Tamandua tetradactyla: one gene and its partners. The protein of the gene in region 4 interacts with the protein of the main gene of each other region in a pairwise test. Links are inferred from orthologs where the notes say so. Each region holds a gene or a part of one and is shown on either strand. Other genes may lie near its edges.

Region 1 (7,919 bases), on a different chromosome or scaffold from region 4:
CAGCTCACCGGCTTTCTCCCACTCCCTCACCCCCCCAGTGGCCCACTGCTGTCCCCCCAGCTCTCCCCAGCCCAGGCTTGGGACAGGAGTCTCGGCAGCCCACGCCAAGCCATCCACAGCTGCAACCCTTCCCCGGCCCTGCTTCCCGTGCCAAGGCCTCGCCTCCAGGCCTGCAAGGAGTTCGCTCTGGAGCCAGCCAGGCAGATTTGCTCATTTCCTTCGTTTTATCCCCAGCGCGGGCCTGGGACAGGGGCGGGGCTGGGCCCCCACTCCAGGCCGGCGCGTGGCCGCCACTCACATGTTCTTCTGGGCCTGGATGATGGCGTTGACGTCGTCCGCGTCCACCATGTTCAGGATGCGGCTGCAGAAGACCCTCGAGGCCGAGTCCGGGGGCTCCATCCCTCCCTCTGTCTTCGCTGCCTGGAATGGGCAGGAAGAGCCTGGTCAGTGCCAGGCCCCAGGTGGCGTCACTAGGCCCCCGAGCCTCAGCTGGGAATTTGGGGGGGTTAGGAGAACTAGAGGAGGTTGCTTTGGGCTGAACTGTGTCCCCCCAAAAGACATCAGAGTCCTGGCACCCAGTGTTGCAAACGGGGCCTCCTCTGGAAGGAGGGCCTCTGCAGCTGCCGTCCGCGAAGCCGCAGTCATGATGGAGCCACGCGGCCCCTGACCCACTAGGTCGGGGAGCTGGACCCACATGGACAGGGGCAGAGAGGAGCACACCGCTGCACAGGCAGTCTTCAGGGGAGGTCCTGCTGCGCAGGCACGTCCCACCCAGACCCCTCCCAGTTCCTCGGCCCCCAGGGCCCTGGCATTCTCGCCTGCGGAGCTCAGTCAGCCGCCTCCCTTGCCTGCTCTGCTCCAGGGCCTCTGCGCTAGCTGTTTCCATGGCTGGACTGTGCGCGGCGGCCCCTCGAATCACCATTCACCCCCACGGACTCCTCCCCAAGAAGTCCTACATGGCCACCCCGACCCTGCCCCTCATCACTTGGCCTCGTTTGGATCTCTTCATTCCAAAAATTATCTCCATCCTGAGCTGGCCTGTTGGTCTGCTGCCCCTGCCTCCACGGCAGCCCCAGGAAGGACCCACATCTGTCTTGTTCGCTCCTCTGCCTCCAGGGCTGACCCAGAACCTGGCTCATAGTGCTCCCCAGAACTTAGCTGACATAAGAGTTTTATTACCAAGTTAAAGCCAAGGGTTTCAGGCTCTGGCCACCCAGCTGTGCAGCACCCATCTTCCCTGGCAAAACTCAGGCTGAGGGTTGCTTCCCAGGCCCTTGAACAGGAAGGGTCACGGTTTCCATGCCATCCCTCCTGGAGGGGGTAGGAAAAGCCTGAAATCCCAGCTGGCTTAGCTCTGGGGCCCATACATGTAGTGGCTGACCGACAGGGCTGGTTAAGATCACAGTCCGCAGAGCCTGTCCACCCTCCCATTTACTGGACACCTGCTGGATGTCAAACACAGCACCAAAACCGCACACGGAGAACTGTTAACGTCCTTATTTACGGAGAAGGAAAGGGAGGCTCGAAGAGGCTGAAAACGTGACCTTGTCCCACAGAACAGTGGGCCCAGGCGTCACAAACCCCATGCCCACTGCCCTGCGGGCTCTACAGAGGTGTGACTCTAAACAGGTGTCCAGTGGCCACCCGTGGTGCATAGCTGCTTCCTGCAGCAATCTGGGCCAGACTTCTGACTTTTTCCCCCCAAGAAAAAATGGAAAGAGAAATTTCTTTCTGGGCGATCTGATCACCTCATTCACAAATGTTAGTAACTAACATATATTCTTTCCAAAACACCATGGAGGCTCGCTCCTACTCCCGCCCCTCAATAAGCCCCTCAAATCATTGCTAGGGGTTGACTGACCTGCCACGTGACAGGCAAGGGCAGAAACATTCGCACATTGCCAGAGAAGCCCAATTATCCATGGTGTGAAAAGTGACTTGGGGTCCAAGGACCGGGTACCATGGCCACAGCTAATGCCTGGTAGAGGCAGGGTGTGGACCCATGGGGATTGGTTCCATTTCACGTTCTTTCTTGCCTCTGGCGCCACGGCCCGCAAGTGCACACACGAACGCCAGCTGCCTCTCTCAGGAAGCCCTCCCTGACTAACCATACAGAAGATAAATGATCCAGCCAGGGCTCAGAATACATTTATGGGGGTAACACGTGGAGAGGGAGGCTGTGTGAGCTTGGCAAAGTCGCTGTACCTCTCTGAATCGGTTTTCTCATCCGAAATGAGACTAAGGAAGAGTGGGGTTCTCAGGATGCCGTCGGCGGGGACGTAAACCACGGAGGTAAAAGGCGGGGCTCAGAGCCGGGGTGGGGTGGGGAGCGGTGTCTGATGCAGTCCTGGGAGGGGCCCAGAAACCAGCACCTAAACGAGTGCCCCTCCCTCTCCGGGCTCCCAAGAATATAAGCAAACGCTGGTACAGAACTTCGGTTAATCCCGATCAACCCTTGTGGCAGGCGCTCTGTGCTCTGGGGGAAACTGAGGCTCGCAGGTTCACTGCCCAAGGTCACGCGGCGAAGCGCGGAGGCACCGCGACGCCACCTGGGTTAGAGAGCAATAAAGCCGGGACTTTGCGGCCCGAGGTCAGAAAAACCCCGGAGTGGGTCGGAATCCCCTCCTCCCCTCGGGTCCCGCCCCTGCAAGACAGGGAAACTAAGGCCCAAGCCCGACAGAGCCTGGACGGAGGCATCCCCAATTCCCGCGCCGTGCGCACCCACTGCGCAGACGGGGACACTGAGGCCTGCGCGCAGGAGGGGAGCCCAGATGTGGCCAGCGGCGCTCCCACCCCGCGGCAGCCCGGGGACCGAGGCCGACCCCGCCCGGCTCCCCCGCGGCCCCGGCCCGGGCGTCCCCGGCCCCACCCCGACCCCGCCCCAGCGGCGGCGGCGGCGGCACCTACACATCTGGCGGCCTTGCTCGCGTTTCCGGGATGGCGCCCGCGCCGCCGAACGTCACCACGCACCGTGCGTGCATGCTAGGATGCGCGTCAACGACGAGCCCCGAGGCCAGCGCGCGTCGTGCGCGGAGACGCGGCGAGGCGGGGCTGGACGCGATCCCCTGTTCGCTGTGCGTCAGAGTGAAGAGCCAATGAAGAGGTCCCTCTCGCGCCTGCGCAATTCCCAGCTGCAGCTCCGAGACAGCCCGGAAGTGGGGAGGCGCGAAACGGGGCTGATCCCTTCTCACAGATGAAGAGCCTGCGGTCCGAGAGTGGCCGGTGCTACCCTGAGATCGCTCACGGCTCCGGAACCAGGGCATCCGGCCCTGCAGGCTGGGAGTCAGCCTCGCCTGGGTTCCAAAGTCCCTGCTCCTGTAGAATTGCTGTGTGACCCGACAGACCCGCATTTGGGTATAAGCTCCAAAGATTTCAAAGCAGAGGCTGAGACAGACATTTGCACATGGATATTCACAGCGACGTTATTCACAACAGCCCAAAGATGGAAGCAGCCCAAGTGTCCGCAACAGACGAATGGATAAGCCAAGCGTGGTGCGTACACGGGATGGAGAATTACGCAGCCGTGGAAAGGAAGGGACTTCTAAGGGAACGCAGAAACGCGGATGAGCCTTGAAGATGCCATGCTACGTGAGATGCGCCAGACACAAAACGACAAATATTTTATGATCATGCTGATGTGAAATGACTAGAATAAGCAAATTTATAGCGTTAGAAACTGGAATATAGGATCCCCGGGGCCTGGGTGGGGGAAGGGAACGAGGAGTGGAGAACAGATTAGTGATAGCCAGCGTGAGCAGAATTAAATGGGATTGGTATGGCTATAAAGGGGTAGTACAACCATCTGTGTAATGATAGAACATTTCTGTATCTTCATTGTTATGGTGGTTTCACGAATCTACATACGTGCTAAAATTGCACACACACATATACAAATGAGTGCGCGTAAAAGTGGTGAAGTCTGGATAAGGTTTGTGGATTGTACCAATATCAACCTCCTGGCTTTGATAGCATACTATAGTTATGTTAGTGCTCCATTAGTGCAGACTTTCTGTTTGGGGTGAGGGAGACGTTTTGGTAATGGGTGGTGGTGATGAAGCACATTATTGTGTACTATATAATTAACACCACCGAATTATATATTTCAGGTTGTGTATGTGTTACCAGAATAAATATTTCTGAAAGAATCCCTGTGCCACCTCAGGTGATCCTTTTCTAGTGTGGGATCCCATCCTGGATGCCACATGCAATGAGTGCCAGGTGTCCCTTGTCCTCTCCAGTCAATGGCAGTTCGCCAGGCTCTCCGTCTTTCCTCACCTTAATACTTCTGAAGAGTACTGCTCAGTTTTTTGCAGAGTATCCCTCTGTGTGGGTTTGCCCTCGGGATTAGGTTGAGATGATGTGTTTCAGGTGTGCGTTTTCGTCGCCTTCTGGGTACCTCGCAGCAGGAGGCACGGGCTGTGGGTGTATCTGCTTATGGTGCTGTCCTTGCTTACAAAGCAGCGTGTCACTGGCTCCGCGTCCCAGCTCCCCGAGCGGCCGCCCTGTACCTCCCTGCCAAGGTTTCAGCAGACCTCACAAAATGCCATCTCGACTCGAACTCTCCATGGAAACTGATGATTACGTTTCACGGATATACCGGAGACAAAGGCTACTTAAAGGAGGACCTGAGAGTACTCATGGAAAAGGAGTTCTCCAGATTTTTGGAAAAATAAAAAGGACCTTCTGGCTGCGAACAAAATAACGAAGGATCTGGTCCAGTTTTGAGATGGCTAAGTGGGCTTTCAGAACTTCTTTTCGCTAATTCCTGGGCTCGCCATTGTGTGCAATGATTGTTTTTCAGTACAAGTGAAGCAGATGGGAAAGAAGTGCTCAATTTTTGTGTCTTATGTGACATTCTTCTACCTTCATAAGAATTATCCCCAGAGTCACGTAAGGAATCTACCCTACGCTTCCCCTGCATAAGGATTTCATAACAGACTGGGGTCCTCAAAATATGCACAAATAAAATCCAACTCCCATTTGACAAGTAATGAAAGAAAAGTCAGTAAAGTGCTAGATAAGCTTTTATTTTATGTTGTTTGCATCCTCGTGCCTTCGAGAAACAATTTTCTTTTCTAATACCTTAAAACAAAAAAAAGCAGTGTCTGCTAAAACTATAAACATGTGGCAGGTGCAAATGCCCCACTAATTTTGGCACCCAGGAACGGATCTTGCGGCAACAGTTAATACTGAGTTGTTTGCCCCGTGGTGGTTTTTGATTACCATCAGTCCTTGTACCGAGATTATTCAAATTCCGTGGCCCTTCTCCTTCAATTATTTGTTTATAGCACTATTACTCCATAGGCATTTATTTTCATCTATGGGTTATAAGTAATTGCTACCTGTAATTACTTTGCTGCCTCTTCCAGTTGACACCTGTGTCCTTTTCACGTGTTCCTGTCATTCTCTTCCTTACTTTTCTGACACCACAAGGTGCTCCAGGCTTTGGTATAGCCCTGGAATCAGCCATTTCTCCAAAAAGCCTCGATCCTTTTCCTGGAGAAGAGTGTTAGAAGTCAGGCCTGGGTCTTGGATGGGCTCCTAGGCCCTGCCAGCTGGGACGTAGACATGCAGAGACTAGCCTGTGCACACGCCCCCTCTATTTCCTTCCTGCTCTCTCTCCTCGTATCCATATTAAAGACTGTGTCCGCACGCAGCTGGGAAGATGCATTTTTACGTGTGGTCACCCAGGTTAAATGCATGAACCAAACCGGGCAAATAAGAATTGCTCGATAAGTGTTACTACTAAATTTCAGTCATCCTTGAGATAATATGCCCCATAGCACACTTCATCGTGGGCTGGACACATGCAGCGTCCACCCCTGCGGCTGCTGAGAGAGGGGAGATGTGGAGACAAGAATCTTCAGATGCAGGAATTGCCTTGTGGCCCTGGAATGGTTCCCCTCAAGGCCTTCTCCCAGCTCTGCCGTCCCATCCTGGCTGGGTGGCCTTGGGCAGGGCTTGTGCCTGTCAGCTGTGCTGTGCCCGTTTGCATCTGCCTCGCAGGGGTGCTAGGGACTCGTTCTGGAAGAGCGGACGATGGGGTCGGTGCACCGTGGCCCTCGATGAGCTAACTAGGTAACGTTACTCTTCACGCTCTGCCCCACTCGTTCCCTGAGAAGTCACTCAGGGACCCACCTCTTGGTGGGGCAACCTGCGGTCTCCTGCTTCAACGGTGCTTGCACAGGCCCTACTGTGGTCCCGGAGTGTCCCGGGGCACCCCCTCCCCCCAAAAAAAGTCAGTGATCAGCATTCTCATTTATTTATTCAATGAATATGTTTAAACATTGTTCATGAAGACTCCCTGCTACTCCCTCTCCAAGTGAACCAAGAGCTGGGGTTCCTAGAGGGCTTCGTCCCTGCCTAACCCTGGAGGAGGAGGGGAGACCCCATCAGGCCCAGGTGCCCCCACCTTACGGGGATCAGCGCTGGGCTAGAGGAAGGGACTCAAGGTTGAAGGAGCCTGACAGTGGGTAGTGAGGGCTCATTGTCGGGGCAAGGAAGGCTGCAAGGAGGTGCTGTACATGGGGACTGGGTTTTGAGGTAGGAATAGGAGCTCTCTGGCACAGCCAGTCATTCAGGGCTGAGGGAATCACAGGATAAAAAGCAGGATGGTGAGAAGATATATAGTGTGGACTTGACCTTTGTAAGAATTGGGGAACTTGGTGAGCCAGGCAGCAGCCTACATGGGCTGGGGAGCCGGGGTGGGGGCTGCCTGGAAAACGGAACCACGGCTGTCTGCAGGCCGCAGCGGAAGAGGCCCAGGCTGGAGAGACCAAACTTCTCAATGGGTCCCTTGGGCGCTGCTGGAGGCCAGGAAACATTTACGAGGGTCTTGGAACGGGGCTGGGGGCCTAATGGGCCTGGATAACCCCTAATACTTGGAGCACCACGGGGTGGAGGCCAGAAAAGGTTTTCCTCCTTTGTGTGTTGAAGGGAGAGGGTGGGAAGTGGCGGGAACGCTGCTCTGCCAGCAGCTGCCCAGGTGGGGGTGGACGGGGAAGTCTTTCATTTGCCCCAAGTGGAAGATCAACTTCCCCTCCCAGGTCCTCACCACAGTCCTCGGGCCCCAACGCAGTCTGGCTTCGGGTTTGTTGTCCCAGGCCCAGAGCCTTGTCCCAGCTGCTGAAAATCGGACTTTTCTGGCTCAGCAGAAATGGGGAGGCCCAAGTTTGGAGACCGGAAGCCTTTTTCCCCAGTTTATTTCCTCCGTAACACTTACCACAGCTGAGACTAAATACTCATTGACACCACCATTTGGATAACATCTGTCTGCCCTGGCTGGGAGGGAAGCTCAGTGGTGGGGAGGGGTGTGGCCCATCTTGCCCTTCCTCACTGTGTCCTTGATCCAGGTAATTAACATCTTTGTGCCTTAGTTTCCCCTTCTGGGAGATGACGGTCATAAGAGTCTTACCAAAACATACTCCACCAATCCAAAAGAAAGCAAAAAAGAAGAGAAAAAAGGAGTAGAGGAAAATGCATAACATGAAGGCATTTTGAAGCTTCGATGTGCACATAATTACATTAAATGTGAACAGACCAAAACTCCATTTAAAAGACAAAGATCGGCAGATTGGAACAAAAAGCAAAGCTGGACCGAGGCTGCCGACAACACACACATGCACCGTGTAAAACTACAGAAAGGCAGGAAGGAAAAGTCTGGGGGCTTTGGAAGTGAACCCACCGAGAGTGGGGGTGCCATTCGAGTGTCAGACAAAGTCCCCTCAGGCAAGAAGCCCAGAGATGCCATGGTCATGAGAGGTTCAGCTGGACAGGGAGATGCGACAAATCACCCCACCCCAGTGATGGCAGGACGTGGCTCCTGACACTGGTGAGTTTGCACCTGAGGTCAATGCGCGGAAAGTGAGGAGGGCAGCATGTGTGACCCCTGACACCACCGATGTGTCCCAGCGCTATTG
Region 2 (7,704 bases), on a different chromosome or scaffold from region 4:
TGTGGAAAATTTGTTATAACTGATGATGACATTTTTTTAATAATTCTACTATTTTTTAACATTAGTTACATTTGTTACAATCAATGAAAGATCATTGAAGTAGTACTATAACTATTGTCCATAGTGTATGTACGGATATTTTTCTTACATAAATAAATAAAAATGAAGACACAATATACCAAAACTTATGATATATGGGTAAAGTCGTGCTTAGAGGGAAATTTATAGCTATAAATGTCTATATTAAGAAAGAGGAATGATCTCATCAACAATCTAACCGTCCACATTAAGATAATGGAAAAAGAAGAGCAAACTAAATGAAAGAAAGCAGAAGGAAGGAAATAATAAAGATTGGTGTGAAATTAGTGAAATATAGAATAAAAAGCAAAGAAAAATTAAATGAATTTTTAAAAATCTACATAATTGATGAACCTTTAGCTAGATTGGCCAAGGGAAATAGAAGGCTCAAATTACTAGAATCCAGAAGTGAAAAAGGAAACATTGCTATCAATTTTATAGAAATGAAAAGGATTATGAGAATACAGTGTTATGCAAACAAATTAGGTAAATCAGATAAAATGGACAAATTCTTAGAAAGACAAAAACTACCAAATTTGACACAAGAAGAAATAAGCATTCTGCAGAGACCTACAAAAAAGTGAGGAAAATAAAAAAAATTACCCCCACACACAAAAAAACACCCAGGCCCAAATGGCTTTATTGCTGAATTCTATCAAACATTTAAAGAACTAACACCAATTATTCACAAACTGTTTCAAAAAGAGGAAGAGAAGGGAACAATTTCCAATTCATTTTATGAGGTCAGTATTACCCTGATACTAAAATCAGACAAAGATATCACAGGAAAAGAAAACTACAGGCCAATATCGCTTATATTTATGTGCACAATTATCCTAAAGAAAAGTCTATCACACCAAGTCCAGTAAAATATAAAAAGAATTACACATTGTAACAAAGCAGTATTTATTCCAGGGATTGAAGGTTGGTTAAACACCTGGAAACCAATTAATACATACTTCATATTAACAGAATTTTTTAAATCACAGGGTCATCTCAATAGACACACAACAAGCATTTGACAAAACCCAACACCCTTTCATGATAAAAACACCCAGTGAACTAAGAATAGAAGGAAACATCCTCAACCTAATAAAACACATCTATGAAAAAAACAGAGCTAACATTATACTTAATGATTGAAGATTGATGTTTTCCCCCCTAATATCAGCAACAACACAGGGCTATCCATTCTTGCCACTTATATTCAACACTGTACCGGAGGTTCTAGCCAGGTCAATTAGGCAAGAAAAAAAAAATGTATCCAAATCAGAAAAGAAGTAAAACTACTTTATTCCCAAATGGCATGATCTTCTGTATAGAAAATCCCAAGGAACCCAATAAAAAGAACAAACAAACAAGTTCTGCAAGGTTGTGGGATAAAAGATCAATAAACACAAACTGTATTTTATAAATTTGCAATGAAGAATCTGAAAATGAAATTAAGAAAATTCCATTCACAATAGCATCAAATACTGAGAATAAATTTTAAAAAGGAAATGCTAAGCTTATACCCTGAAAACAACACATTGTTTAAAGAAATTAAAGAAAATTTACATAAATGTGAAAACATCCCATGTTCATGTATTGGAAGCTTAACATTGTTAAGATAGCAACACTCCCCAAAATTACCTACAAATTCATCACAATCCCTATCAGAATTCCAGCTGACTTCTTCGTGCAAACTGACAAGTTGATTCTAAAATTCATATGGGGAACCACAATAGCCAAAACACCTTGAAAATGAAGAACAAAGTAGGAGGATTCACACTTTACAATTGCAACACTTAGTATAAAGCAATGGCAATCAGAATGCTGTGGTACTGTCACAAGGGGTAAACATATGCATCAATGGAGCAGAGCTGAGAGTCCAGAAATAAAGCTATACACCTTTGGTCAATAAAGGCACCAAAATCATTCGTTAGGGAAAGAATCATCTTTTCAACAGAGTGATGGCTGGTTAGATACAAGAAAAGAAAAAAAAAGAAGAAGAATATGGACCCTTATCTCAGTATTATATAGAAACAAATAACTCAAAATGGTCAAAGACTGTAAGGTTTAAAACTTTTAAAAGAAAACATAGGCATAAATCTCTGTGACCTTGCACTGGCAATGAATTCTTAGCTAGGACACCAGAAGCATGAGGAACAAAAGAATATAAATTAATTGAACTTCAATTAAAATTAAAAGCATTTGTGCTTCAAAGAGCACCATTAAAAAAATACAAGGACAATTGACGAATGCGAAAAAATATTTGCAAATCCTATATCTGAAAAGAGACATATATCTAGAATGTATAAAGAAACACTTCCAACCCAATAATAAAAAGAGAAATGACCTACCCTGAAAAGAGGCAAAGGATCTGAACACGTATTTGTTCAAGGAAGATATTCAATGGCCAACAGGCATTCAAAAATAGGCTCAACATCATTAGTGTCCTGGGAAATGCAAATCAAAACCACAAACACCCATTGGGATGATTATAATTAAAGGAAAATAAGTGTTAACAACATGGAGAAATCAGAATCCCCACAAACTGCTGGGGGGAATGTAAAATGATGCAGCCACTTTGGAAAACTGTCTAGCAGTTCCTCAAATAATTATACACGGAGTTATCACATGATCCAGCAATTCCAAGCCTAGGTATATTCCTAAGAGAAATGAAACATTAATTCCACACAAAAACTTCAACGTAAATGTTCATAGCAGAATTATTCATAATAGCCAACAGGTGAAAACAACCCTAATACCTATTTATGGATGGATGGATAAAGAAAATGTGGTATATCCATACAATGTAACATTATCCAGCCATGGAAGAATGAAGTACTGATACGTTGTACAGTGTGGATAAACATTGTTCTGGTTTGCTAGTTGCCGAAAAGCAACACACCAGAGAGGGACTGGTCTACAATAAAAGGGGATTTATTTCGTTAGTTCTTGAGAGGAAAGGCAACTAACTTTCAACTGAGGTTCTTTCTTATGTGGGAAGGCACAGGGTGATCTCTGCTGGCCTTCTCTCTGGGCCTCTGGGTTCCAACAACTTTCCCCGAGGTGGTTTCTTTCTACATCTCCAAAGGCCTGGGCTGAGCTGCGAGTGCTGAGATGAGGTATGCTGAGCTGCTTGGGCTGTGGTTGCGCTCTCTTGTTTAAGCACCAGACAATTAAATCAAACATCATTCATTGCAGCAGGCACGCCTCCTAGCCAACTGCAGATGTAATGAACAACAGATCAGGTTCACCTACCAGTGGCTCATGTCCACAGGAACAGAACTAGGTGCCTTCACCTGGCCAGGTTGACAACTAAGTCTAACTACCACAAACATCATAATACATTTTCCTAAGTGAGAGAAGCCAGTCAGAAAAGTCCACATTACATGATTCTATTCAAACGGAAGTCTTCACCAAAGGAATAGGGATATCTATAGGGCACGATATAGATGCTTAGGGCTCTGGGAATGGGAGTTTATGGGAGGATACGAATGTGATGATGGTTTGTATATGAACATACTAAAAACCAGTGAAGTATACACTTTAAGTGGATTAAAGCTGTTTTGTAAAACTGGGCAAAAGGCAGGAAAAGGTAAATCACAAAATAAGTACAAGCGGCCAATAAAGATATGAAAAAATCCTCCCTAGTAATCAAAGTGAATGCAATTAAGATGACAACTTTTCACTATTAATTGGACAAAGTTATTTAAAAGGGAAAAGATAGTTCCCAATATGGGCCAAGAGCGGGCTCCTCTACTGCTTGAACTGGCACTTGCCTGGAAGGCCGTTTTGGCGTACCTTCAAAGGCATATTCTTACCCTACAATTTCACATGCACGAATTTATCCTAAGGAAATAGTCTTGGGTTAACTGAAAGACTCATCTGCAAGAATATGCAGCACTGATACAATGCCCAAAAATTTAAAAACATACGAATGTTCATAAATTATGTCCCATCCATACGCACTCATTAAAACTCAGCTATAATCCGATCATGTGAGGACCTTTTTTCTTTGTACTTTTCTGTACATTCTAAATTTTCTACACCAAACAGCCCTTGTTTTGTGGTCGAGTTTCTGGAGTCTTTGTTTTTCTAAAAAAAAAAAAGCCCTCAGGAGAGCAAACCGTCTTCCTGAAAGTGTGAGTTAAAGGAAGGAGCTCTCGGATCTGGGTCCAGTTCCTCCCCAGGCAGAGGACCAGAGGTCTACACCCGCCCGCTTCTGGAAGCCTACTTGAAGAGCTCCATTATCGAGGGTTCACCCCCTTCTCAGCTAGAAACTAGGTGTCTATACTCGCGTCCTAACGTGGGCCACCTAAAGTTAGGCAGGTCCGAAGGCAACGCCGGACCCGGGTTCGAAACACCGGAGTGCGTGGGCGAGAGCGGCTCAGCAGATGAACAAACGGGAGGCTCCCTGGTCGCTCCAGGTGAGGCCAGGGTGAAGGAGCGGAGACGGGAAACTCAGTCACAGACGTCCGGACACTCACATGACTTCATCTTCTCCAAAGAAAAGCTCGAGGCTTGACTCACTCGCTCACCCACGCAAAACGCAATTTAGCGCCGCAGCTCCATGAACCGAGGAACTGGCACTCAGTACGCATGCGCGCGCCCCGCCGTGCCGCCGGCCGGTCCCAGAAGGCCCCGCGCGTCGGTTTCCATGGCGATGCGCGCGCGCCCGATGTCGCGGGGTTGGCGCTGCCGCCGGAGTCGCGCGTTGCAGGTAACGGCGCCGCCGCCTCTGCCCCCAGCTCGCCGTTCTGGTCCGAATTTCCGGCTAAACTTTATTTCTGGGTCTTTCGGCGTCGCCCGGTCACCCAGCCCTAGTCCAGCTCGACCTCGCTCCCGCGTGTCACCTACAGGTGAACATAGCCGGGTCGTCCCGCCATTTCCTCTTGCGGAGCGCTGCTTGCTGAAGAGCAGCCTTTGGCGCGCCCCTCCCTGTTCAGAAAGTTTGACCGGTGCCCTGCACGACGGGCGCCAACTGGCCCTTGAACCCGACTGCAGACGGACTGGGCAACCCTGAGCGTTCGGGCAGGCAGATGGTGGTGACCCGAAGTGACTCTGCGCGAACTGGGCGGTGCCCTGGCCACGGCGAGGGGAAGGCCAAGGCCCTGGGGTTTGTGGCCCAGGGTCAGAGGTAACTGTGGCCCGAGGTTTACCCTCTTTTCCCTGTTCGTAGGCTTTCGCCAGTATTTTTCTTTTCTGTTTGAATCTCGTACCTTCAAGTTTGCTTTTATGTAATTTTTGCTTTGTTTTGCTTTTCATTTGAACCTTAAGGCTGACATTTGTCGATGCCCGCACTTGGAAATCCTAGTTCTTAGCAGTGTCTTCTTTCTGTGCTCCTAACCTGCTTAGCCTTGCACCCTTTTGTCCACAGTTTCTTCTTTAGTGTGCACCATCTCGTTGCCACTTTATGCCAACAGTTAGCTTTTTTCAAGACCAGTCGTCATTGCCTGACAGGACCTTGCATCTTTTTTTAATCTACAGTGATCCCTAAAGGAATGTATCCAGTATCAAGGACTCAAAACACCTCTAATTGCTCCTGAGCTCCTAAAGCGTATCTCCAGTGCACGTTTCCCCAGACCCGTGTGCCTACCCACAGCTCTACTTAAATGTCTACCATCTCAAACTCAGCGTGTCCCAGGCAGCTGCTGATATTCCCCAGAGCTGCTCCCCTTACAGTCTTAACCCACTTGAGTCACTGGAAACCATCCTTCCAGTTGGGCCTTGGTGACCTCCTCTATTTTTTTCACTCCCCACATTGTCTTCAGGCCACCATGATTTGGTGGTCTCCATGCTTATGTTTTTCCCTGTCCCCAACTTCAGCATTAACAGTCTTATACTATATTCCCTTTCTCTATCTCTTTCATATAAATAAGTAATATATATATATATGAATTTTTATAGTTCCTATAGATAAAACTACAATATTTTTAATCAGTATTTTGAGAATTGCAACTTCTAAACCAGGTAGATAAACTTGCCTAATATATAAGCACCTTAGTATTAACAGGCTAAAATTGAAAGATGTCCCTTAGCTTTTTTAGGTATAAATATGACACTGTTGCTGGAACAGACTATGGCAAGGGCTTTGCAGTTGACTAAGGAAGAATAAAATCCAGAGCCTTCTTCCAAGTGGGAAGGAGTCATGTAGGTATTTAGACTCTGTCCTGTACTCTTTCTTTAAATAATCACCCAAAGAGGCATCTTGAGATGGAGGCAAGTGATGGTTCCCAGGCTGCACACTGGACCCTAGTGAGTGAGTCACGGAGTTGATGCAGTGATCCATGTAACAGGCCACTCCTCCCAGGAAGCTGTTGGCCCTCATACCCCTACACTTGCCAGTCTCTTTTATCCAGTCCCCTGTTTTTTCTCTTTTTCCGTTGGGTTAATCCCTTATTGACCAAAGTAACCCAGTAGGATTGCTGCAACTTGCTGAGGGTCTGTAGGAGGTTACGGATCATGAACTTCCACTTTACTCAAATCTCATCTCCCACCTTGCCCTTATGCTGTCACTTCATAGAGAAACTTAAAGCTCTCAGAAATACACTCACTCTCCAGTTACCAAAACTGCAGGCCTTACCTACATCTGTAACATCTTTGCTTCCTTCCCTCTGCCTGTCCAAGATCACTCCTTACCTATGCTTTGGATTCCATCCCCTCCCACTGGCCAAAACCCTGCATGATCAATTACCCAATCTCTCCCCTGTGTATTCACCAGTTCCATCTCAACCAAATCTCTCCCGTGGCTTTTAAACATGCTCAAACTTCCCATCACAGAACAAAGAGAATAAAGAATCTCTCTTTTCATCCCCTTTTGGTTTCCAGTTATTGCCCAATCTCTCCTCCCTTTTGGTAGGCAAACGTATTCTAAAGAATGGCCACACTTGGTGCATCTATTCCTTGTCTCATTCCTCAGCCCTCTCTAGTCTGGCCTCTACCCTCATCACTATTCTAAAACAAAAACCACTAATCACACAGACATTTCCAGACTCTGTCTCCCTCTGATTCTCGGCAGCATTCGACACCACTGCATTAGATTTGAAACACTCCTTCACTTGGCTTCTGCATCCCACACTCATGCTTTTCCTGCTTGCACTCTGGTTCTCCCTTCTCCTCTGGGCTGCTCTAATATTGCAGTCCTTAAAGCTCAGTTTTCCTTCTCACTCTTCTCAGGCCTCCTATATTCTGACTTGAAGAACAAATCCCTGCCCATAGCTTTTAATGCCATCTATTTGTCCTTGATTCCCAACTTCATCTCCAACTTGACCTTCTTTTTTGAGCTTGATCACCATATATTCACCTAGCTGAATGGCATTGCCTCTTAATATCTCTGAGACACCTCCACCTCCACATGCACAAGGCTAACCATTCTCCCTGCTGGCACCCCACCCCTCACTGAGACCGCTTCCACTGTAACTAGATTCGTCCTTGATACCTCCCTTCCCCTCACCCCAATACCCAATGGGTCACCAACCGATGGTGGCTTTGTCTCTTGTGCATCTTTCTCATCTCTTCATCCTCACTTGGCACCTTGGTTCAAGCTCCTGCTTTCCCTCGCCAGACCTTCTGCAATTCTTGACTTAACTGGTCTCCCCTTCTCCCTGACTTTTTTCAACTCTACTCCCCACACTGCAG
Region 3 (7,170 bases), on a different chromosome or scaffold from region 4:
AGGATGCACTGATGGAGAAGTGGATTGGCGATCAATGGTGTATACTTATGAATGAAGGTTGTGCTGTTACAAAAAGGAACAAAGTCTTGAGGCATGCAACAATGTGAATGAACATGTGGGACATTTGGTGAGACAAAATAAGCCAGAAACAAAAGAATAAGAATGGTATGGTCACCTTTAGTAAATGTTTATAAGAACACAGGGGCCTAGATTATAAGCTTTAGAGCAGACACATTAAGTCCAGAGTGGTGATTATTATTTCTGTATTTTAAGAGGCTGTTTTATATATATAACCTGATGTTTAGAGATAAGAAAGAAGTTGAACAGATTTGGGTTAAAGTAATTTAGAAAATAGGGGTAAGGAAGACAGTGTTTATATTTTAGATGCACACATAGTCTTTGAGACCAATGGAACCGAAATTTTATGTAGGGCATAATCTAATTCAACCGATCTGTATAACTCATTTCAACAATTAAAAAACCAGGAGCCCAGAATAAGAAAGAGGGCCTATAATCTTGTACAGAATATTGTAATGCCTGGATACATCCTAGAGTATATTAAGCAGATAATCAAAAAGTACTGGTAAAGTCCCCTGAAGGAGGGAAGAAAGAATATGAAACTATTAAATCTTACCATCAGGGAGTGTCATTATACTGTGTCAAATTTTAGGGACACCCAACTCAATAGACCAAGCCCTCGATCATGAGGCTTACTCTTGTGAAGCTTAGGTATGTAGCAGAGAAGGTTAGACTACCTATAGGCATGCTAAGAGTTACTACTGGAGGACCTCTTTTGTTGCTCAGATGTGGCCTCACTTTCTCTAAGCAAGTGAAATCATTACCTTCCCCTCTACATGGGATATGACATTCAGGAGTGAAAGTCTCCCTGGCAATGTGGGAGATGACTCCCAGGGATGAATCTGGTCCTGGCATGATGTGATCAACAATCCCATGCTGACCAAAAGGGGGGAAAGAAGTGTAAAATATCAGTGGTAGAAAGAATTCAAATAGAGTCGAGAGACTACTCTGGAGGTTGCTCTTATGCAAGCTTCAGTTAGACCTTGCTACCTATCATAACCTGTCAACCTCCAACCAAGGCTATTCCAGCCAATCCTTAAGAACACCTATGGCAATATATAAGATTCCACAAGGGGTCCATGCACTAGAGTAACTTTCCATAAACCTACAACCTCCAGATGGGTCCCTGGTCCAGATAAGTCCTGAAACCTAGAGGGCCCAGCCTCTCCAGAACATCAGATAGTTCCATCTCCCTACCCCATATTAGTAACAGACCCTTCCAATATGAAAAAGTTAGAATGACCATAACCCAAACAACCCTAAAGAGAGGGTTGGAAAGATTAAAGGTAATGGTGGAGTTATACAGAGAAGATAGGATTTAACAAATGAATACGAATGCTGAATCATTAAATTGATGTCTCTTTTAGTCTCCAGTATTATAGAGTAGCTAGAAGTAAAAACCTAAAATTGTGGAATCGTAACCCATGTTAAACTCTGAAACATGTTTTACAACTAATTGTGGTGCTGTGCTTTGAATTTTATAGCTTTTTTGTATATATGTTATTTTTCACAAAAAAGGAAAAATAATCAATTGTGATAATAAAACAAATATTTAAGCCTTCTAGCCTCCTATATTCTGGAGTAGCTAGAAGGAAAAATTTGAGGGGATCGTATGGTAGCCCATGGCAAACTCTGGAATCTGACCTGTAACTACTTGTTGAGGAATGCTTTGAAAACTATTGCTTTTTTATTTCTTTGTATATATGTTATACTACACAATAAAAAAGTTAAAAAAAAATAAATACTAGGGCTGAAAACCATAATAACTAAAATTAAAAATTCCTCAGAGTGGTTCAACAGCAGATTGGAGCTGGCAGAAGAAAAAAACAGTGAACTTGAAGATGTGACAATTAATATTGTACAATCTAAGGAGCAGAAACAAAGAAAACTGAACAAAGCCTAAGAGTCCAGTAGGAGGCCATCAAACATACCAATTGTGCCAGTTTGAAAATGTTGTGTACCCCAGAAAAACCATGTTATTTAATATGGTTGGGTGTGATCTTTTTTATTAAGTTGTTTCCATGGAGATGTGATCCACACAATTGTGGGTGGGATGCTTTGACTATGTGGTTTCCATGGAGATGTACTCCACCCATTCAAGGTGGCGTGCTCACTGCAGTCCTCTAAGCAGGAACCATTTTGGGAAAAGCTTCAAAGCCAATAGACAAAGACGTTTGGAGATGCAGAAAGAAAATGCCCCTGGCTAAGTCATTTGAAACCAAAAGCTGAACGGCCAGCAGATGTCAGCCACACGTCTTCCCAGATCAGCCTTTCTTGAGTCAAGTTACCTTTCTCTGGATACCTTAGTTCATCTCTTTTTTTATGGCCTTAGGACTATAAACTTGTAACTTAATAAATTCTCTTTATAATAGCCAACCCATTTCTGGCACATTGCATTAACAAACTAAAACATCACTATAAGTATTATGGGAATCACAGAAGGAGAAAAAGAGAGGAGGCAGAAAGAACATTCAAGAAACTTCCCAAATTTAATGAGAGACAATCACAATGAACTTCAAACAGGATAAACCCAAAGAGAGCCACAAGACACACTGTAATTAAATTGCTGAATGCCAAAGGAAAAAAAGGAGGATCCTTAAAGCTGCAACAGAGAGGTAATATATCATGTACAAGGCTCCCTCAGTAAGATTAAGTACCAATTTCTAATCAGAAACCATTGGGGTCAAAAAGCAAGGGGATAACAAAGTTCAGTAAAAAAAAAAAAAAGTTGCCAGCTAAGGATTCTATACCTAGCAATTGAATTGCTATATCTAGCAATTCAAAACTTAATACAAACTATGCCCTTGTGCCAGTACAAAACAGTGTTGTACTGGCACAAGGACATGCCTATTGAGCACTAGAATAAAATTGAGTTCAGAAGTAAATCCACACATGACAGGGGTGTCAAGTCCACTTAATGGGGAAAGAATAGTCTCTTCATAAATGGTACTGGAACAACTGGACAATGTTTGATAAGTGCTACCTGCAGTTGCATATTAGTCTAACCTACATATATGGAAAGCTGGGGGGGGGTGCTCTTAGAACATTTGTTAAGTGTCAGGTGACTGCAGCCCACAGATGAGCAGATTGAGGTCCTTCAATCCTGTACCACTCACACCCAGGTCCCACAATCTACGTTAATTAACTAACGTGCAGAAACATTAATTTAACCTCCAGGCATGGCCAAGAGGCAGCCCTAGAAGGGGTTGGGGTGGCTCTGCCACCCTCTAATCCTCATCCCTCTCCCAGCCCTGCCGGTGATCTCCTCCTTGGAGCTCCACCTGCCTCAGGCCCCAGGTGACCACCTCCTGCACCACATGAAGGAGGACACGCTCCACAACCTGCTGAAGCACTGCACCACTGCCCAGGAGTCTGACCCCAGGCAGCTACTTGCCGGGTTTCCAGAGGGAAGCTCATGGGGGCCAAGTGGGGAGCCAAGGGCTTTCTGTTCGTAGCCCCTCTCTCCAGACCCAGCATGGGGGTGTCCGGGACCCTGTGGCCGACGCTGATGGGGGGATGCATGGCAGGGGGACCATGCACCAGGTGAACGTCAGGACCCCCAGGCACGCGCCTGGCTTGTGGAAACTTTGGACCCCATTTCCCTTCCTCTGCATGCCCACTGGATGATGTCTCGCGCCTGACTCTCTAGCCCTGCACCAGGGCTCGGCCTTCTGACTGAACTTCCAATTCGGGTGTTCCTTCGTCCCTCCCGCGTTCCTCTGCTTCCTCTGCTCCTGCCGAGAGGCAGCGCCATCAGAGCTTGTGGTTTAAAGACTGATAAGGTGAGACAGGTACATTCTGGCCTGTATGGTCCGGGCAGAACACTCGTCATGTCTGAGCCGTGCTGAAGTCCAGAATTTTCACGCACGGAATGAAGATACCACCCACGAGGAAGAATATGGGCAGAGAGCTGCGCACATGCACAGTAGTGCAACACCAGCGTGGAAGATTGGCGCGGCCGGCAGTAGTGTCCATGCGCAGGACACTGACTGTCAACTGGCCAGTGCTGGCTCGGCCCTCGCGCAGGCCCGGAACCAACACCCTCGGCTCCTGAGGCTGCACTGCGCAGGCGTGCTGCGGCCGTCCCGCCCCCACGAGGGTGGGGCCCAATCATCACGTGAGGCACCAACGGGTAGGACGGAAATGGCGGAAATGGCGGGAAGGTCGGGGCCTTCGAGCGCGGAGCCCACAGGAGCCGTGGACAGCGTGGAGCCAGCTGGAGGTAGTGGTGTGGAGGCGGCGAGGCCCTCCTTGGGAACTGGGCTTGGGAAGGGGCTCGGGGCACCAGGCGCCGGCGGAGGGGCGGGAGGCATCCCCTGCTCTCTCCAGATGGAAGCCACGTTTGTGGGAAGCCTCGGCTGTTCCACAAATGGGAGGCACATTTACCCACATTCCTCCCACCTGGATTTAACTCATTATTTGATCCAGATTTTGCTCAAGACGTCGTTTCATTTCTTTCCTAAGAATTTCCGTTCGTACCTCTTAAAATAAAGAACTCTCTCTTCTCCTGCCGCACTTAAGGGAATGAATAATTCCCGTTATCTTCATCTCACAACCAACCGGTATCCAAATTCTCCTCTTTATCCCATAGTGGCTCTTACACGTGGATTTCCTCCCACGGAGTCCCTCTTTTCTTCCTGACACTGACCAGAGTGACGGCACTCCCCTTGTCCAGGGAAAGAGGGACATGGCAGCCCCTTTAATTTGTTCAGAAGTTCAGAGATCGCAGCCCAGCAGAGTAGAGAATTGAAAACTTCTCCCCCTGCTATTGGGTGTTTTGTGGGGATTTCAGATGTATGTAACATGGAATTGTGCAGTGACTCCCACATGAGGTCACTTGTTGACCCTGTCAGGTTGGCTCGCGCTCCACCCGTTCAGGCACATTGAGGTGCTTTGTCAATGCAGGTGGCGGTCGCTCCCTCCGAACTTGCTTACAACAGAGCCTGCTTCGCACATTTACACATAAATATTTGAACAGTGAGGTGAGTTTAGCACAAAGCTGGCTTAGGATACAGCATGGCACCCTACCACAGCCCTCCTCTAAGGACAACAGAAAAGAAACAAGACAGATGCATGTATATCCCTTTTATTATGCAGCTGCAGTGATTGCCACTGTCCTAAAGAAGACTTTTGGTATTTCTCTTTCCAGTTCCTCAAATAAGCTGACATATTTGCATGAAGATTTAATCAACTTTACCATCAATGGAAGAAATTTAAAAGAAAGTGAGATTCTGTTTTCAGTTCATCAGATTGTTTCAAAGAGAGCAGGGGTGCTATCTAGTGTCACAGGTCTTCACATACAAGCTGGTGGGAAAAACAGTAGGTAAAGACTATGCAGTAGCCCGTCTGGTAAAATTTTTAGCATTTAAATAACTTGTTTGCCTTTTAGTCACTGTGTTAGTCAGGTTTCTCTTGAGAAAGTCACCTTCCTAGGGATCACACAAGACACAGATCCATGTACCAAAAACAGTGCTGGAGCCTTGCTCTTCATAGCAAAACATGGGAATGGAATGGCTAAATCCAAGTATACACATGCACACCATGAAATACCTGGGCATTAGATTTCTAAAATGAGGAAGAAACATAATTAAAGTCAAATGTATTGGACTTAATTTTTACATTATATATATTTATAATGGATACAGGAAGTTAAAAGATATGAGAAGAAAGCAAGTTGGAAAATTGTGTTAATTGTACCCCAGTTTCCATTTCACAGGAAAGTGTCTGCTGAGACCTATGTTCCTAATTGATGACTCTGGGAAGGGGATTTGGATTTGCGGGTGTGTGTGCAGAAGTGGAGGGACATTTTCAATGTCATTGTTTGATTTTTCTGTTAGGGAAATGTGGGTAGTACTTGTGGAATTTTAAAGTGGAAAGGAGAAAGAGAAATTTTTTAATGGTATTTAAAGATCAGATATTAATAACACTGTTAATTTCTTGGATTTGATTGTTGTATTGTAGTTTCCACATAGGAAAATGTTCTTGACCTTCAGAACTTCACAGTGGAGTATTAAAGGGTAATGGGACATTGTGTGTGCATCTTATTGTCAAAGATTCAAAAATATTAGCCAGTGAGAAATTGAGGTGAAGGGTATAAAGGATCTCTGTGTCCTACTTCTGCAATTTTCATATAAATTTGAAATTATTTCAAAATAAAAAGTTAAAAGGAGAGGGCTCATACTGTACAAGTGTTTGGTTTTAATTTTTTTAATTGTAGTAACATATAATTAACATAAAATTTGCCCTGTTAACCTCTTATAAGTGTACAATCCAATGGCAGTAATTATTCTTATAATGTATTACCATCACTACCATCCATGGGCAAACCTTGTCAACACCCCAAATGCGAACTCTGTACCCATTAAGAATAACCTCCAATTTCCCTTCCTCTATCCCCTAGTAATCTGTATTTGATTTTCTGTCTCCATGAATTTGCTTATTCCAGATATTTCATGTAAGTGGATCATACAATATTTGCCCTTTTGTGTCTGTCTTATTTTACTTAGCATAATATTTTCAAGGTTCAACCATGGCATGTATAAGAAACTTTATTCCTTTTTATGGTTGAATAATATTCCATCAACTGTCTATACCACTTTTGTTTATCCATTCATCTATCAACACTTGGGCTGTTTCCATCTTTTGTCTTTTTTGAATAATGCTGCTATTATTCACAACATAATATTAAAATTACTGCCATATTCAACATATACATTGGTAAATGTTTATACATTTATGGAACAGGTAAATATCTGAGTCCTTGTTTTTGATTCTTTTGGATATATACCTAGAAGTGGAATTTCTGGGTCATATTTTAACTTTTTGAGGATCTGACAAACTGTTTTCAACAATGGCTGCAGTGTTTCACGTTCCTACCAGCAATGCAGGAAGGTTCAAATTTTTTTACATCCTTGTTGCACATCCAACACTTCTTATTTTTCATGTTTTGAATTCTAGCCATCCTACTGGGTGTATCTCCTTGTGGTTTTGATTTGCATTTACATAATGATTAATGATGTTGGGTACCTTTTCATGTTCTTGTTGGCCATTTTTATATCTTCTTTGGAAAATGTCTATTCCAGCCCTTTGCCC
Region 4 (7,412 bases):
TCACAACAAATAGGAGGTGAGTTTCAGGAGACAAAGCCACACACAGCCTGAATTTAACCCACAAATCTGTATGAGTCTCCCATCCTTTCTGCCCGTTCCCCTGCCCTCTATTTTTCAGCAGGCCTATATTGCCTTCACCTCCTCTCTTATCCTCCTATGTATCTGTATCCCAGGCTGTTCTTTGCTTTTCATATAAGTAGTGTAGCTTGGTCAGAAAAACAGATTTTAACATTGAACATATCTGGGTTTGAATCCTAGCTCTGTCACTGGCTGTGTGGTCTTAACTTTTTGGGTCACAGTTGCTTATATGTAAAATGGAGATTATTTCTACCTCATTGGGTTGCAATGGAGACTATATAAAGCAGTTAGCGGGGAGGTGGCACATAATGTCAAATAATGGTAACCCATGATGATGTCTTCCTGCCCTATAATAATGTTCTGTTATTTCCTTTTCATTACCTGGCTGCTCCTACCTAAACCACATTCCTCAGGAACCTCTTTTATTCCTCTGTTCCTCTTTCCTTTGTTCATCTGGACATGCAGAATACCCCACCCCATCTGCCTTGATCCCTGACCTTGGCCTCTCTCCCCAGGGCTTGTCAATGCCAGGCTAGCTCCAGTATTGGCAGGCTGCCCCTCCCAGAGAGCCCCTCTCCTCTGATTCTATTGCTCTACTCTGTCTGCTCTCATCAAATCAACGAAGTAGTTCACCTTCTCATGCCCAGCCAGCCCTTCTTCCATCTGAAACTAGTGCCTTCACCCAGCTTCTCTGGCTCAAAAGGGTTCAGTCTTGTTTGACATGGCTGCAGAAGAGGACCTTGCAGGAGAGCTAGACAACTTTCAAGTCCATCTGATGTGTCTGCCTTGTATGCCGTCCAGTCAAAGTCTCCTTCCTCTAAGAGAGTTGCTCCCCCCCACCTCCGTATTCCCAGGCTGTCCCTCCAGTCCCCCATTTCCCTGAACACTAAAGTCCTTTCATTTCCTTTCCCAGCCTGCCTCCCTTTAACCTCTGGTTATCCAATGTGGTCAAAGTTCTCCGAGAAGGGAATTAGAAATTGGGGGGTGGGTTAGGGAAAGGGAGGGCAAGAAAGCAAAAATTACATGCACCCCCATTGGGAGCCATGAAGGAACAAGGATATAAGAGAACATCACAGGAAAAAAAAAAAAAAAGGGAGAACACCACAGGACAACATCCATGATTAACGGTACAAATATTAAAAAGTACTTTCATGAACTAAAGCAGATAATAATAGAGGGGTATATGGAAAAAAATGTACCTATTACGAACTATGGACTACAGTTAATAGCAATTTTTAATATTTTTTCATAAACAGTAACAAATGTACCACACTAACACTATGGGTCAATAATCTGTGAGGATAAGGAGTATGGGAGGTTTAAGGTTTTCTTTTTTCTTTTTATTTCTTTACTGGGTAACGAAAATGTTCTGAATTTGATCATGGGGCTGTACACACAACCATGTGATGATGCTGTGAATCAGTGATTGTGTACTTCTGATGGGTTCTGTGCTGTATGAATGTATCGCAATAAAATTGCATTAAAAAAAAAAGAGAGAGAGAGAATACCACAAGTGCCTAGCTGGGTGCTGTTAGTCTTCCCCTGGAGGGCAAGAGCCACACAACAGAAATTGACTGGGGCTTGGGGCAGGGTATTGATCCAGTTGAAGGGCAGGGGAGAGCTGGTGTGGGGAAGGAGGGGCAATGGGTATCTGCACTAATGGGAACAAGGACACATGGAACAGGCCCTGAGGCTGCAGCACAGCCTCCTCCCCCATCCCCACACTTCTACCCCAGACCCCCACCCCACCCCCACATACTGGTATAACCCGTGATCCTTTCTGCCACAGTGTAGAGAAGCATCTGCCTGCCACATGACATTCAACAGATCTGATTCTCTTCGGAAGGAAAATCCCCCAGAAGGAAACCAGGCCAGATCCCTGTGAGGGAACACCCTTGGAGAAAGCAGCCCCGGCACTGGTGTTCTTGTGGCAAAAAGTCCTGAAGAAGAGAAGAGGAGGAGGGTCCCAAGGACTTCAGGCTGCTCCCTGGTAGAGGGGGTTTCTTTCCCTTGGTCTCTTAGTCTTAGTTTTGATCCTGCCAGGCAGTGGAAACCCTAAGTTTTCTCCTCTGAGCTTAGGTTGGAGGCTGCCAAACTTGGAGAGATGCTTGTGAGACTAGTTACTCCTCTGTTTTGGACATCCAAGGGTGGTTTTAAGGAAGATGCCTGGAGGACATGGGGAGAAGGTGAGAAGGGACAAAATGTTGGAAAAAAGAAATCAAGCAATTGGGAATTTCTCTGGCTATTTCACTTAAGAGCAGGAGGATGCCAGAATGGACCTCAGCAGCCTTGTGGGGGTGATCTGGAAAGGTTAGGATTTCTATTGAAAAGATATAGCAGGGTATCAAGCCCCTCTGGGATGGAAAGCCTCGGGACACTTGGATTAGAGAGGAGGAGAGCAAGTCGCAGGCTGAGGAGAAGCTGCTGACACTGCTGATCCTCAGAGTCCTGCAGCCGTGACATGAGGGGGAGAAGCTCTGTGGAGCTTTTGAGGAGGATAGGTGCCCGGATGTGGAGCCCTGCCAGGTATCCTCCCTGGTATTAGGGCAACGTGATCCAGTAAAGGCCAGAGCAGTGGAAGGAGAGGAGCAAATGCAGGGATGGCATGAAGAGCTGATGAGCAAAAGCCAGCCATCTAGCTATGATCGATGCCTAGTTCACCTGCACTGCCTGTTCTTTGCAATAGGGAGGAAGGCAGATGACCACCAAAGCTTTCCTGCCCGCTTCTGTCTGATATGTTTGATATTGGGTTGTTTAATTAGAAACCAACTAAATGTCAAACATTCTTACAGCAGTTGGCGATTCAGCATTATACTTTATCCTACCTCAACCTCTGGGCTCTGTGATTCTTAGCTTTTTTAGTGAACCTCTTCTTTCCAGGACCCCTTCTGGATGACCGATTGCTAAAACCCATGATGATTTCAATCTTAAACAGAAGTGTTGATGTGGGAGTGGGATGACAAAGGTGATATAGCTCTTTTCCTTATCTCCTCCTGCCCTTGTATTTTTTTCCTCCTTATTCAACCCCCACCAGCCTGTCTCCCACCTTATCATTTGCTACTCCCTGGGACTCTTTTGTTCCCTACTTCCTTGGGCTTCTATGCTTTCCTTCAAGAAACATCTGATGATCAATTTATCTACTTTTAGTGACTGAAGCCCTCAGAAGTGGATTCCAGCTCTGCCATCTTCCCTGGAGGTCATCTCCGTTTCCCCATTGCTGGGGCTTAGCATTAACACTCTCAATCTAGCTTTGATATAATGACTAATTAGAGACATTTATATTCTCCCCTGATAGCTCTGGTCACCTTGAGCAGTGTCCACCTCTCCCCTGGCGTATTCTCAGGTTGGATGGCGCCAGTGTACTGGGATCAACTGCCACCTGTTAGCAAAAAGGTTCCAAGTGGAAGAATGAACATGCCCTGGAACTGAGCCAGGGAGCACAGAGCTGCTACTGCTGCTGATTGTGATATGAGTGGTGGGGGGTGGGGTGTACGAAGGGCAGAGGGTGAGGGGAAAGAAGAGTAGAGACCAGTAAAACCTTGGTCTGTATGGGCACAAAAGTTCTATTTAAAAGACACTATGAGAAGAAGAGGGTATTATCTTGTCGCGCCCACTCTGACCCTCCCCTGCTTCTCTCCCCACCCTACTTCAAGCTCTGGGATGGCCTTCCAGATTCCAACCTACCCTCTTACTCCATTCCTGTGGTTCTTCGGTGGGGGGTGGGTGGAGGGTGGAGGAAGATGTCCACGCCCCCCACCCCGCCATTTAGGGATTCCCAAAATAACACAGCAATTCGATCTGGGGATCTGGGGGATTTGTCAAGGATCATGAATGACCTCCCCTCTTCATTGTTGCCAAAGCTCCCTGACTACCAGAAATCAAATGATAAAAAAAAAAAACAGTGCAGTCTGATCAGTATCCAGCTCAGTCCGGGTGAGAGTAAGGGAGAAGCTGAGGGGCAATTAGGACTCTGGGTGAAAACTCAATGCCATTCTATAATTTCCAAAGTCCCCTTCTCTGATATCAATGCTATCTCTTCCCCTGGCCCTCTCCCTGCTCTTTTAAAACAACCATAGTGCTTCCCAGAATGAGTGGAAAGTTTCAGGGTTCAGGGAGAGCCTCCTCCCCCACTTTCCATTTTCTAAAATCAGCCTCAGCTGTTCCCAAATTTTTCTTTGCTGGTGATGTCAGTCTATCAAAGTGTCTCACCCTGTGTTCCCCCAGGAAAACAAAGATGGGATGGAGGGAGCTGGAAAGACCATGTTAGGAACAAGAGGTGGAGCTGAGAGCAGATATAAAGGCTCAAGTCTAGGCAACTCCTAGGTACTCAGGCAGCAGCCCCTCCTTTCTTGACCTAGTCTCCAATTCTCCAGGTGAGCCCACCAATAACCACCGCTCATGATGGAGGCCATCAAGAAAAAGATGCAGATGCTGAAGCTGGACAAGGAGAATGCTCTGGATCGGGCAGAGCAAGCTGAAGCCGAGCAGAAACAGGCAGAGGAAAGAAGTAAACAGGTAGGCACTGGCACTGGTCTCACTTACATGCTGGTCAACAAAATAGTGAGACGGGAGAGTTATCATGGGAAAGGAAGAGACCACTGTTGTCACCTTCTTCTTTGGGTAGGAGGGACTTTTTTCTCCAATCTCATTTGAAGGCCAGAGGACATCTGCCTCAAACTACCTGTGTGATGTTGGGAAAATCAGTGGCCCGTGCTAAGGATTTAAGTGGAATGGACCATCTTTTGGAAGAATCCCTGACTTTTAGAGGAAAAGGTGGGAGCCTGGCGTGCAGCATCTCTTTTTCCTTAAATGGAGTCACAGACATTTATACTCTTAGATAATATTTGCCATCCCAGGGTCTTAGATGAAAACCCAGCATGGCTTGGTCATCTTAGGGTCAGAGATTACAAAGACATAGGCCAAGTCATAGCATAACTCTTGGGGCAGGGGCTAAAAATGATGAGAGAGAAATTGTGTCTCTCTGGATAGTAAAATGGTGGCTGAACTCAAGAGTCTATTAGCGTTCAAGAGCCAAGAGTCCAAGGCTGCACTATTATGTATGTGTGTTTTTGTGTGTCTCTCTGGACTCCTGCAGCTGGAGGATGAGCTAGCAGCCATGCAGAAGAAGCTGAAAGGAACAGAGGATGAGCTGGACAAATATTCTGAGGCTTTGAAGGATGCCCAAGAGAAGCTGGAGCTGGCAGAGAAGAAGGCAGCTGATGTGAGTATTAGATGGGGGATGGTGTAATCTCTATATAAAGATGTTCACATTAATGTATGACTAAATTCCACACAGACTTCAACATATACATACTTGTATGTCCACAGAAGACAGAAATATATACTCGCTCATATCTTTGCATATAATAACATGCTAGAACACCCTCATAATGGTATATATATTTATTTTTTTAAGACATATAGAAATCTCATATTTTTTTTTATCTACCCTCATGCCTCCTGGAATTTAATTCTCTTTCCCAGGAACTAGACAAAGGGAAGGGACTCCAAGTCCAGGCTGCTGATACTCTTACCTCCTCCCCCATGCTACATTCTTAGCTTTTGTGTCCAAAACTTGGCACATAGATATGTGTATTAATAGGGAATCTCTCATCTCCCAGCTTCCCCCAAAACAGCTCAGATTTCACAATGGGCTTAAGAGGACACACTGACCCTGGCCCTGTATGGATTTATTTATCTTGGCCAATCTGGACATCTGTCCTCATGCCAGGAGATGCCATAAGGCAGCAGGGAGGTTCATATAGTGTTAGACTATAATAGAAGCTAAGAAGTAATCTTAGGGTATAAGGGTATCACCACCAGACTTTACTCTATGAACCTGAGTAAATCACTCAGCTTCTCAAGGGCTGAATTTTCCCATTTGAAAATGAAATAAATCCTCTTTTCCACTTCATATTATCCTCCATTCACCTAGCTTCCTTCATCTTCAACCTTGAAGTTTACCACAAAAATAAATGAGAGACTAGATAGGAAAGATTCCTGGGAGAAATGTACTTTAGGAATCTTAACAGTGACAGAAGAATATCGTAGTATTGATGGAAACAGTCAATTCTGAGGGAACTGAGTTAACAATTCTCAGAGAACTGAATTAACAGGAAAATAGGAGCATGTGTTACTTGAAAATCATATTTGGATTTGGGAACTAGCTAGAGGGACAGAGTGGGCATTCACAAATAAGTTCAGATCCTTACATTCAGCCATTTTGCTATTAGGTTTCAGATCTTCTCTTTCGATTTCCACTACTTTCAGTGCCTCTAGAAGTGGTAACAGTTGAATATATGATGCCACATAGAAAGTGGATAATATATATTATATATACCCATAGTTTCCAAATGTTTGGAGCTTTGCAAACCACTAATTATCCTTTCTTTAAAAACTGGAAGAAAAAAAAAAAAAACCCAGGGCTTTGGGCGAGTGCTTGATGATCTGCTAGAGTTGCCCGATCTTAGTTTCCAGATAGACTCCCTGGATCCAGTAAGCTGTCATGGGGATAGAAGCTCTCAAAAACTGCCACAATATTAGGTTAATAACATTTTTGTGAGATGTTGGGTATTAACTGTCTGAGAAAGTCCTTATGCTGAAACAGCTAGCATGTGTGCTTGAGATTTTTCCAGGAGTGATGAAAATAATAAAACCAAACAAGTCTAACCTGAGATCTTGGGAGAGGGAGAGGGAAAAAGAGGCTCTAGACAATATAGTCATATTATCAGAAAGATAAAGAAATTTCCTGGGGATGAATATTAACTGTTTCTCACACATACCACTCATACACACACACAACCACGTCACCCCAACCTAGATATGGTCAACTCAGTATATTCATTTGAAAGACGCCTCCTCACAATTATACAGGAATCTAACAAAAACCAATGACACATGTAGAGTGTGGGGACAAAACCTCTCTCCCCTGTGTTAATTTTCCCAACAGGCCAAGAAGTATTCTTAGAGATACGTGAGAGAACAAGAAATAGGACAGGAAGGTTGTGGGTATGAAGCCAAAGTCTGTTCGGGTGGGTTGAAAATGGAAGCAGGAAGAAAAGCCTTCTTTTCTCAAAGCGGGGGTTAGCACAGTTCTGCCTATGGGCTAAATAAGGAAGGGGCAATGGATTTAAAATGGAGAGCAAGAGTTAGAGTCATAATATACGCAGCATAATATATGCATCTTTGGGGGAACGATGCTCTGTCCAGTATAAAGGAAGTTAAAAGCTCAGCTTTTGCCCTTGAGATTAATAAGTAAATAGAGCATATTACCTTGTTGTAAATGTAAGGTGAAGGGAAGGAGGAGGAGGGAGTCAGTAACTGCATGTTTACTT

The links.
Region 1: the proteins of TPM3 (region 4) and KXD1 interact in binary tests that used the Homo sapiens proteins (3 or more experiments, as listed by UniProt). The two-hybrid records come from large-scale screens. The link is inferred for Tamandua tetradactyla from reciprocal best matches to the Homo sapiens genes TPM3 and KXD1.
Region 2: the proteins of TPM3 (region 4) and LCA5L interact in binary tests that used the Homo sapiens proteins (3 or more experiments, as listed by UniProt). The two-hybrid records come from large-scale screens. The link is inferred for Tamandua tetradactyla from reciprocal best matches to the Homo sapiens genes TPM3 and LCA5L.
Region 3: the proteins of TPM3 (region 4) and SYCE1 interact in binary tests that used the Homo sapiens proteins (3 or more experiments, as listed by UniProt). The two-hybrid records come from large-scale screens. The link is inferred for Tamandua tetradactyla from reciprocal best matches to the Homo sapiens genes TPM3 and SYCE1.

The regions. Positions count from the first base shown.
Region 1 is NC_135337.1:96,084,579-96,092,497, forward strand, and holds the start of KXD1 (kxDL motif-containing protein 1), read right to left. Parts: upstream 3,018-7,919; 5' UTR 2,908-3,017; intron 2,720-2,907; exon of another isoform or gene 2,206-2,719; intron 421-2,205; 5' UTR 400-420; coding exon 299-399; intron 1-298.
Region 2 is NC_135336.1:102,196,857-102,204,560, forward strand, and holds the start of LCA5L (lebercilin-like protein), read left to right. Parts: upstream 1-4,697; 5' UTR 4,698-4,786; exon of another isoform or gene 4,787-4,925; intron 4,926-4,931; exon of another isoform or gene 4,932-5,203; intron 5,204-7,704.
Region 3 is NC_135339.1:96,812,027-96,819,196, forward strand, and holds the start of SYCE1 (synaptonemal complex central element protein 1), read left to right. Parts: upstream 1-4,163; 5' UTR 4,164-4,221; coding exon 4,222-4,300; intron 4,301-7,170. UniProt on the Homo sapiens protein: Major component of the transverse central element of synaptonemal complexes (SCS), formed between homologous chromosomes during meiotic prophase. Requires SYCP1 in order to be incorporated into the central element.
Region 4 is NC_135330.1:7,154,257-7,161,668, reverse strand, and holds the start of TPM3 (tropomyosin alpha-3 chain), read left to right. Parts: upstream 1-4,393; 5' UTR 4,394-4,476; coding exon 4,477-4,593; intron 4,594-5,173; coding exon 5,174-5,299; intron 5,300-5,466; exon of another isoform or gene 5,467-7,412. UniProt on the Homo sapiens protein: Binds to actin filaments in muscle and non-muscle cells. Plays a central role, in association with the troponin complex, in the calcium dependent regulation of vertebrate striated muscle contraction.